Neurospora crassa OR74A: one gene and its partner. The main gene of each other region encodes a partner of the protein of the gene in region 2 in a complex. Links are inferred from orthologs where the notes say so. Each region holds a gene or a part of one and is shown on either strand. Other genes may lie near its edges. The genes, in order: hat-4 and NCU03834.

What was found.
Region 1: NCU03834 (region 2) and hat-4 share a complex: the UniProt entries of both Schizosaccharomyces pombe proteins name them as parts of the nuA4 histone acetyltransferase complex. The link is inferred for Neurospora crassa OR74A from reciprocal best matches to the Schizosaccharomyces pombe genes epl1 and mst1.

Annotation. Positions count from the first base shown.
Region 1 is NC_026504.1:5,717,063-5,721,582, forward strand, and holds hat-4 (histone acetyltransferase esa-1), read right to left. Parts: upstream 2,937-4,520; 5' UTR 2,794-2,936; coding exon 2,714-2,793; intron 2,638-2,713; coding exon 1,197-2,637; 3' UTR 584-1,196; downstream 1-583. Other genes in the region: NCU11146 (aminotransferase), read right to left, coding at 1-239; NCU05217 (RNA exonuclease 4), read left to right, coding at 3,418-4,520. UniProt on the Schizosaccharomyces pombe protein: Catalytic component of the NuA4 histone acetyltransferase (HAT) complex which is involved in epigenetic transcriptional activation of selected genes principally by acetylation of nucleosomal histones H4, H3, H2B, H2A and H2A variant H2A.Z.
Region 2 is NC_026505.1:2,562,803-2,567,325, reverse strand, and holds the start of NCU03834 (histone acetyltransferase complex component Epl1), read right to left. Parts: upstream 2,918-4,523; 5' UTR 2,616-2,917; coding exon 2,469-2,615; intron 2,299-2,468; coding exon 1,528-2,298; intron 1,468-1,527; coding exon 616-1,467; 3' UTR 1-615. Other genes in the region: cnb-1 (calcineurin subunit B, variant), read left to right, coding at 4,495-4,523. UniProt on the Schizosaccharomyces pombe protein: Component of the NuA4 histone acetyltransferase complex which is involved in transcriptional activation of selected genes principally by acetylation of nucleosomal histone H4 and H2A. The NuA4 complex is also involved in DNA repair.

The DNA of each region.
Region 1 (4,520 bases), on a different chromosome or scaffold from region 2:
GAGAGAGGGGTTGGGACGTCGGGGTCGGAGAGGGCGGGGGGTGTTGAGGGGGACATGTTGGCGGTGGTTGTTGTTAATGTTGTTGATGTGTTGATGTTAACTTGGAGTGATGAAGACGTTGGAATGTTGAGTTGTTGGTGAGATGAGTGGAACCTAGATAAGGTTGGTGGTGGTTTTGGGACCATAGCTTTGTTATTAACCTGGCAGCGAGTGAATCTCAAATGCCGTGGTGAAACCATTCAGTTTATCTCAGCCTAACCCATTTGTCCGTCGTGATCGCCGTCGTGAATGATGTCGTATTGCGGGGAATCTAGGTTGCGGGGCCGGCCGGCCGGAGGTGTGGGGCTGGACGGGGCTGACGGAACACAAGCAATGGATGAGGTGACGTCTGGAGGTCTCACTACCGAATGCGGCCCGGGAGATCTCCGACGACTAGCCGGTATAACCAGTCACAAGCTTCAAATCTGCGAAAGCGGTCTGTAAGATCGGGGAATACACCCACGTTTGATGACGTCCAAAGCAGCCATGCTCTCAATAGTAAAGTCGGGAATCTTGAGCTAAACTTTCGTCAAGATTTTGTGCTGTAGCAAACAGGCTTTTTCGCTGATCATGAGTAGAGATTATGACTAGGCTCTGCTTCTCTATCCTGGTAATTATATTCCTAATCACTCGTAAAGAAATGACAAACCATTCTGGTGCTTTTGGCCGTAATAGTGATACATATGGTGTTCCTTTTTCCCCCCCTCCTGTAAGCCATTTCCCCAAGTGCCCGTCCAAAACAAAAACCAACGCCATATCATACTAACCAACCCGCTTGCTACCCATGCAATCTTGTTCTCATGACTATTACAACGAGAATAACACAGACATCCCAGCAGTAAGAGCGCTCGCTCCCCAAATATTGAATGATCCACCAAGACGACATACCACCTATTGTATCCATGACCCAATAAATCAACGAAACCATTGTAAAAATCCAACAAAGGTCAAGTGCACTTTGCGGCCATGTTAATGACCATTCTGTTTGCATACACTACTGCAAGGTTTCCAGTATCTGATCGATTCAGGAATTGATCTTCTTTTGTTGGCGTAATGCTGATGGTTTCGTTTTCTTTTAATTGGGTCATGAATCCGTGTGGTGGTGTCACGAGTGTGTCGTCTTGGTGTATCATTCAATATTTGCTGAGCGAGAGCAACTACCACCCCCATGTCCGATTAAGCGCCGTGAACACCGGTGGCTTCCACTGGATCCTCTCGGGATCAATCAGCCTCTTTTGCTTCGCTTTGCTCTTCTCCCTCTGCTTGATCAGCTTCTCCGGTACCACAATCTTGTGCTCGCCCTTGTGGTACACCTGCATCTTGAGCGCCTGCAACGTATGTTCCACATCCTGTGTCGTCATGGCCAGGGCAACAGCAATGTTCTCAATCGTGCAAGCTTCCTTTCGCTCGTTGTACCCGAGCAAGATATCGATGATGTTCTCGGACCAATACTGTCTATATGACAGCAGACCCAGATCGGACAGGGGCTTCTCGGGCGAGCCGAGCTTGCCTTCGATTTTGGACAGTTCGTACGAGAATTGGATGAGCAGGCGACCGTATCCCTTGCGTTGGTACTGCGGAAGGGTCAAGATACAGGCGACGTTGTAGCCGTCCGTAGACTCTTTTTCTTTGGAGAAGTACCCGATGATGTGGCACCCCCGGTCGTCGCGGGTGGTCATGACGTAGAACAAAAACGGGTCGACATCGTAGTAAAGGGTTTTGTGGTCGAGAAACATCTTGGACAGCAAGCAGAGGTTGCGACACCAGGTGCGCTGACGTCGCCCGTCGATTTCGAAAAAGGAGACGTAGTCGTCCCGGTAGATTTCGTTTCCGGGCGGGTGGTGTAGAGTGCACTTTTGTCGGTGACGCACAAAGGATTTCAACTCGCCGTAGTACGAGAGACAGAACTCGCAGATGTAGATGCAGTCTTCTTGGTCAAAGATCTGCGGGTAGGGCGAGAAATACCACGGGAAGAGGACGTAGCGGCCGAATTCCACCTTGGAGATATTCCGAATGCGCGAGATCTCGGTAGGGTTCTGTGTCATGGAGCCGGATGTTCGCAACTTTTCAATCTCTTGTTCCCTGGAAAAAGACGGCTGGCGTTGTTTCTTAGCGGCTGGTATTTCGTCCTCATCCATATCGATCTCGTCGGCTTTCCTCTTGACTCCCTTGTCCCCACCAACCTCCAAACTGGCGTTGACGTCGGTTCCATCTTCCGTCTTCCCCCGTTGCCTGTTATTCTTCCCTGGCTGGCTTTCGACAAACTCGGTCCATGGGTGTGGTGTCTGCCCGTCCGATGCGACTGACTGCTCCCTCTTGCTGGCCTTTTTCTGGTTGTTCTTCTTGGACGGTTGCTTCTTGGATACCGTCGAGTTGTTTTTCTTGGTCTTGGCGTCCTTCTGCTTGTCCTTGTCCGGGTTGGGCCACTCGACGTCCTGCTCGAAATCGATTCTGGCGGCCGGCACCCATTCGTCGAGACGCTTGTTGAAGTTGTCAAAGTTGCAGTAGAATTGCCGGCCGGACTTGGTGTCTTTGATACTGAGGATCTCTGCTCGTCGTAATTGGCCTTCTTTCATCACCATGGCAATACATCCCATTCTGTTTGGTGGTGTTAGTATCTGGTTTTTCAACGACGATGGGGGGTGCCGTGGACAATGATGGGACGGAAACATACTTGATGGTGTCGGGCGTCGCCTTGCCCTTCTGTCGCTTCTCGTCGGAGCCGACAGTGGCATCGCCACCTGGGGGACTCATGATGGCGGCTATGTGTGATCCAACTGTATATGATTCGGTCGATAACTTGCGATGGTTTGCGACAAGATTTGATGGTTGTGGACGATGGGCGATTGAATGCGATCAATCTGACGGGCGACGCGCGACGTCAGTCTTGAAGTGTTTTGTAGTGTTCAGCGACTCTTTCAGTGGACGCTTCCCGAACGTTTTGGAGGGGTCCTTCAGTGGCGAGCCCACGTGTTTGGGCCGTCATTTCAGCGGGGATGCAATGGGACACAGCGGCAGATCCCTGCATGGCTTGCCTACCCTGTCAATCGTCCAGGAACCGATTTCCCCAGTTGAATTTTTAAGTGAACACCAAAGTGGGGCCCATATTCAACATCCACTTTCACGTTCATACAAAAAAGTTATCACCTTCTGGAAATCTTCCGTTTGTCTCAACCTTTTGTTTACTTTCTCTCATTCCAAATAAGAATTCAGCACCAATTGGACTCCACATAACCTCGGCCGCCAATTTGTGATTGGACATACCACAAGTGATCCCTCATCGGCAGTGACACCCTCACTTGTCTGTCTTGACTCAACACTCCATCACCACCACCACCATCAAAATCACCAAGGCAGGAGACCCTCCTGTCACCAACCATGGCCCCGGAACTCTCCTCCAACTGGAAGAAGTTGCAAGAAAAGCTCAAGGCCCCTCAACCAACCAAATCAGCTCCCATCAGCCAAGAAGCCGCTTTCAAGCAAGCCATTTCCAAAAAGTCCATTTCCTCCGAAACCCTCAAGCGCAAGGCCGAGGAGAGTCAACAACAGCAACAAGCCTCCAACCCTTCCAAGAAGCCAAAAAGACAAAAGTCCCAAACCCAGTCTCAACCCAGCAGCCAAAAACCAACAGAAGAAAAAATGGGCGGCAACGTCCAATCCAAGCCCACCACCTCCTCCTCCCCAAACAGCACCCTCCCCTCCCTCCACCTCTGGGCCGACGAACAAGGCATCTCCTCTGAATCCCTCGCCGAAGCGTACAACCTTGGCCTCCGCGGCACCTCTTCTTCCTCTTCTTCTTCACACATCCCTCTCCTCTCCACCCTCCCCCCCGCCATCCCCAACGCAGGCCTCACCCTCCCCGGCCATTCTTCTTCTTCCCCTAAAAGCAACAAAAATGGCCTCCCCTTACCAACCGACCTTCCCTCATCCCTCACCCTCTCCAACGGTCTCACACTCGACACTTCCACCACCACCGACCTCGCACTAATCCTGCAAGCAACCAAGTCCAACACGCTCGGCAAATACCTCTCCATCGACTGCGAAATGGTCGGCACCGGTCCCTCGGGCGCCACCAGTGTCCTCGCTCGATGCTCCATCGTCGACTTCCACGGACACCAAATTTACGACTCGTACGTTCGCCCCACTGCTTTCGTGACCGACTGGCGCACGCATGTATCAGGCATTTCCAAGCGCCACATGGCGTCCGCACGATCGTTCGAGTCCGTACAAGCAACTGTGGCTGCCCTTTTGAAAGGTCGGATATTGGTGGGTCATGATGTCAAGCATGATTTGGAGGTGTTGGGGTTTGAGCATCCGCATCGGGATATTAGGGATACGGCCAAGTACAGTGGGTTTCGAAAGTATGGACATGGGCCGAAGCCGAGTTTAAGGGTGTTGGCCAAGGAGGTTTTGGGCATCGAGATTCATCAGGGACAGCATAGTAGTGTGGAGGATGCGAGGGTAGCCATGCTGTTGTTTAG
Region 2 (4,523 bases):
ACGCTCGCAGCACTTGTCTCGGGGCTGCCGATGACCAAACGCTCGGAACATCTCTGAGATCATTCCTGCTTTCCCCTGGGCAACAACCTCGCGGACGCACCCGGTCTATAAGGCTTCGTTCGCCCTCCAGGCTTTCCAGAAGCGAAGATGCCTTGACAGACATCGAGACCAGCCTCCACGCTTGATGGCCATAGCCACTTTCGTGGTTCAGTCACACTGCACAATACAACACCGCGTGAAGCAACTGATGGGAGCCAGAAGTGGTATTTTACTGCTTTGGTATCTCATTACTGTTGTCGCTGCACAGCTTCTCGCGTGTCTCAGCTATCCGCCGCCATCTACACGATATCGGTACGACTACTTGTTTACATATATACATGAGCCGTTCCCCACTTCGCCAAACCTACGCAAAAGCCGCAACCCAAACGCCTCGCCCCGGCCAGATCCTTCTCTTTAGCCCTGGCCCCATATCGCTAAATGCATCAATCGAGAGTTGAGGGGTATACACAGCAGCGGTCTTCCGAAGTTTATTCGGCTGCTCGACCACCAGCCCGCGAAAAAAGCCAAACGATATCTAAAAAAGATGACAACACAACACTCCTACAAACGCCAATTTTATGACACCGGTTGAGCCTGGGGCTGCGGTTGCGGCTGTGGCTGTGCTACTGGTTGTTGTGGTTGAGGTAGAGGGAGAGATTGTGATTGATTTGGTTGAGGTTGTGATTGCGGTTGTGGTTGTCCCGGAGCAAAAGAAGATTGGGCAAGTTGTTGTGGGACGGCGCCCGGAGGGATGAACTGCCGGTTGATAACCGGTGGGGGAGGTCTTGTGACCGTCTGGAGTGGTATTGAAGCACGGTACCTCAATGCCTTTGTATCAAAGGGGTCCAGCATATACACCGGCGCGTCGTCCTCGTCATCAGAGGACTGATCATACTTCCAGCGATCGGACTGTTCTTCACTGAGGTCTCGGGCTGGACTAGGTAAACCACGACGGTCGATCCACAACCTGTTCAACCGGCCGATACGACGACGATATGAGGGTGGATGCGCCAATGATTGTTCGTCCTGGGCAACGCCCCTGAATTTTACTGGTGGTGGTGGGTTGGGTTTGGGCTTATCAAGATCCATCGGGGTGGGCTCATCCATGGATCCTGAGGATGCAGACGCTGGTGGCGTCATGAGATACTGCGTCTTGGCAGGTCTGAAGCCCAAATCTTGTCTTGGGCCCTGAACGGGAGACAGCGGCTTGCCAGTGAGGTCGACATAGTTCTTGTTCCAGTCGATGTGGTTCTGAATCTTCTTCTCGATCTCGATGATGAGCTCCGCATTCTTCTCGGCAAGGCGATCTGAGAGTTGGACAAGATCTGACTCTGCGGGACGGCCATCGGGGCGCACAGGCATACGGATCTGGGGGGGTGGAGGGGGTCTTTGAGCTGAGGGTGCCTCCGGAGCCTTCCTCTTTTGCGGCTGTTGTGAAGCGTTAGCGTTGGCTGATGTAAGTCTTGCACGTCTTGCCGTTTGACTAACCTTTTGGTTTACTAGATCCTCGTCGCCCGTCCTGATGCCGAGTCGGAGTTTTTGCTCCTTGATGATGGCTCGTTGATCGAAGATGGCTCGCTCTACCTTGAGCATATCTGCCTTGAGCAATTCCCGGTTGTGGGCTGCCAGGATGAGTTGACGACCTTCCTCCAGCTCCTTCCGCAGCCGCTTGAGTTTGTCCGCACTCTGGACATCTCTTGCCCTCGTTTTGCGAGTTTGACGAATCTCTCTTCGGCGAAAGCAGACGTAGGGATCAAGCTCGTCGCTTTCCGCATGTGTCTCGAATTTCAGTGTAGGGTTGAGCGGTCGGTTTTTGCTGATTTCGCGGCGCGACTTCCAGTACTCATATATCTGCTTGGCATGAACCATGACTTTTGTGCTGTCTAATGGCTCCAGTCCTCGCAACATCTCCTGATACGACGGCACTGTCTGGTCTATGGCCGAGAACGGCGTTATGTTCGCCGCCATGTCCTCATACACGTCCATGATCCTCTCGAAATCATCTTCGGAGAGACGAGCAGACGGGGTCAGTTTCATGTTGTAGGACTTGAGGAACGTCTCATCGTCCTCGGTCATGTCATACAAGCAACTGATGCATTCTTCTACCGTTTGGGAAAAACGGATATACGTGGATGTCTTGGCCACCTTTTGAGGGTAGAACTGGTCGTAATCCAGTTCACTCTGCTGTGGAGGGGGGACAGGAATCTCCTGGTCGGCGGCGACTCCTGCCCCCTTGAGCACAGCTTGAAGATGGTATTCCTAGTTACAGAAGGGGTAAGGTCAGCACCGGTGACATGCATGGCTGTGTGCATGGAAGGTAGGTAAGGTGAGTTGGTGATGGAGGCGTGATGGAGGCGCGGCAGACGGGTGGCACGTGCACGTGCACGTGACCCCGGTCGCGATCAATCGGACATAGGTGTTGAACTCACATTTTCCTCGGCCTGTTCGACACCGGTGGCTATTTGGTTTTCGGAAGTGAGTGATTCATACTCAGAGGCTTCAATTTGATCCTCCCTGAGCACCGCAAGTTGTGTTTTGACACTCAGTTTCTTGTACCGAACCTTGCGGGTCGCCATGGTGAAGGTGTGGGCAATTGCGGCAGAAAGGCCTGGGGAAACCCCGACGAAATTTTTTTTTATCTCATGCGGGATTGCATGCGAAATCGAACCGTCGAGTTTTTTGATGGAAAACTCGCGTCGTGGGTGATATTTTGATGGGCAAAATCTGGTCCCTTGATGGAGTGTCGTTGAGGTTTCGGCGCAGATTTTGCTGTTTTGGCGGCGGATTCGACGGCCAATGCACGGTCTTGGCGATTGGCTGGGCTTCTGCTCTTGCGAAGCCTGAATGGCGGGGGGAGGGGTTGAATGGGGTGGTTTTGGGCGAAGTTTTGCTGGTCGCGCTGGCTTTGCTGGCTTTTCAGGGAGGGAACGTAAGCGTGGTGCCCACTGCCCGGGCCGTCCATGGTCTGCGCGTCCACTCGCAACGAACCAGTCAACCACCACTGCCAGTGGCCACTGCACTGTTTGAAAGTTGGAAGCGCGGGCGCGCCTCCAAGGAACCCGATCCGACGACTCCAACCTCGACTGCCCGCCTGAGAAGCCAAGCTGCCAACTGGAGCCCAAGGCAGTGCCAGCCCGCTCCGATAAGAGCAATATCGTCATGTAAGGTAAGGATTGGCGTGCAATCTTACAGAGATACACCGCGGCCTCATTGATTCTACTCTTTTGTTACCTGTTTTTGCTTGTTTTCAATCTTACTATCAGAACCCTTTGGCTCTTGGTGGAATGACGATGCAAGCAAGCATTTGCTGGTCGTCATAGACTCCTTGAACTGAGGGCATTCGGTGCGCAACCTGACAACACCCAAGTTGGATCCAAATAAAAGACTGATATCCTGCACCACTTCCTCTCCATGTCGTTGATATCGCATTCAATATTCAACGACAACTTGTGACTGTCTGGAGATTTGGGCATTTGACTGTTACCAGTGCACCGCAGCCAAATAAAGATGGAGTCCGAGGTGCAAATCATATGCGCAGCAGCACACATGCGATGCATTCCTTTAAGAATTCCTAAAACGGTCAATGGTTGGTTTGGTTTCAACGAGGAGGCACGCGAACAGTTCCAACAGACATCAACCCTGACCGTCGAAAGGGGCAGCGTGTTGAAATGAATCAATCAATGGGCTGATACGAGATGAGGAGGAGAAGTGGCCCGTGCATCCCACTTCTTACCCCACCATCCACGGCATAGATCCTCGTGCCTGCCCCCGCTGTCCGCCTGCCCAGCCGAGCCAAAGGCCGCGGCCCGCCTCTCCCTCTTTTGCCTCCGTTCCAGTCTGTGACCGCCAAACCGAAGAGGGGACCTGCCGACTGCGGGACGACAGTAGCCGCGGCGGGCTGCTGCTCTGCTGGTGTCAGCCCAGGAGTGCTCGTGAATGGGAGGCCCCCGCTGTTCGGTGAGGCAATCGAGCGCCGCACTGCAGCTATGGACTAGTAGTGACAGCCCGAGCTACCTGGACCTTGACCACTTGTCAACCACCACTGGTGGCATCCCATCTCAGCCTTATTCCTGCCTTGTCCAGACCCTTATCGACCCGGAGTCGACCCCTAATTCCTCCAACCTGTGAATACCTCCTGCCTCGCACTTTTTTCTTTGCTGCTCAAGTGTTAACCCACCACCCAGCGCCCGAACTTCTTGCCAAAGTGACGACGACTACCGACACGACCCATTCGTATCCGATCGCTTCAGCGTCGCATCACGTCGCATCTTTCGGCACAGGCACATTGCTATCATCACGAGCACGACAACCAGCGGTGGAAAGGAAACAGAACAAACCGAGAACTTGTCGACGATTCAGCACGGCGATTTGTACACCACCGTGCACTTTGATACCCAGTAATACAGATATCCATCGGTCGAAAGAGTCCAGCAATACACAACACGAGCAGCAACCATGGGCAACACCACCAGCTCCGTCCTGGA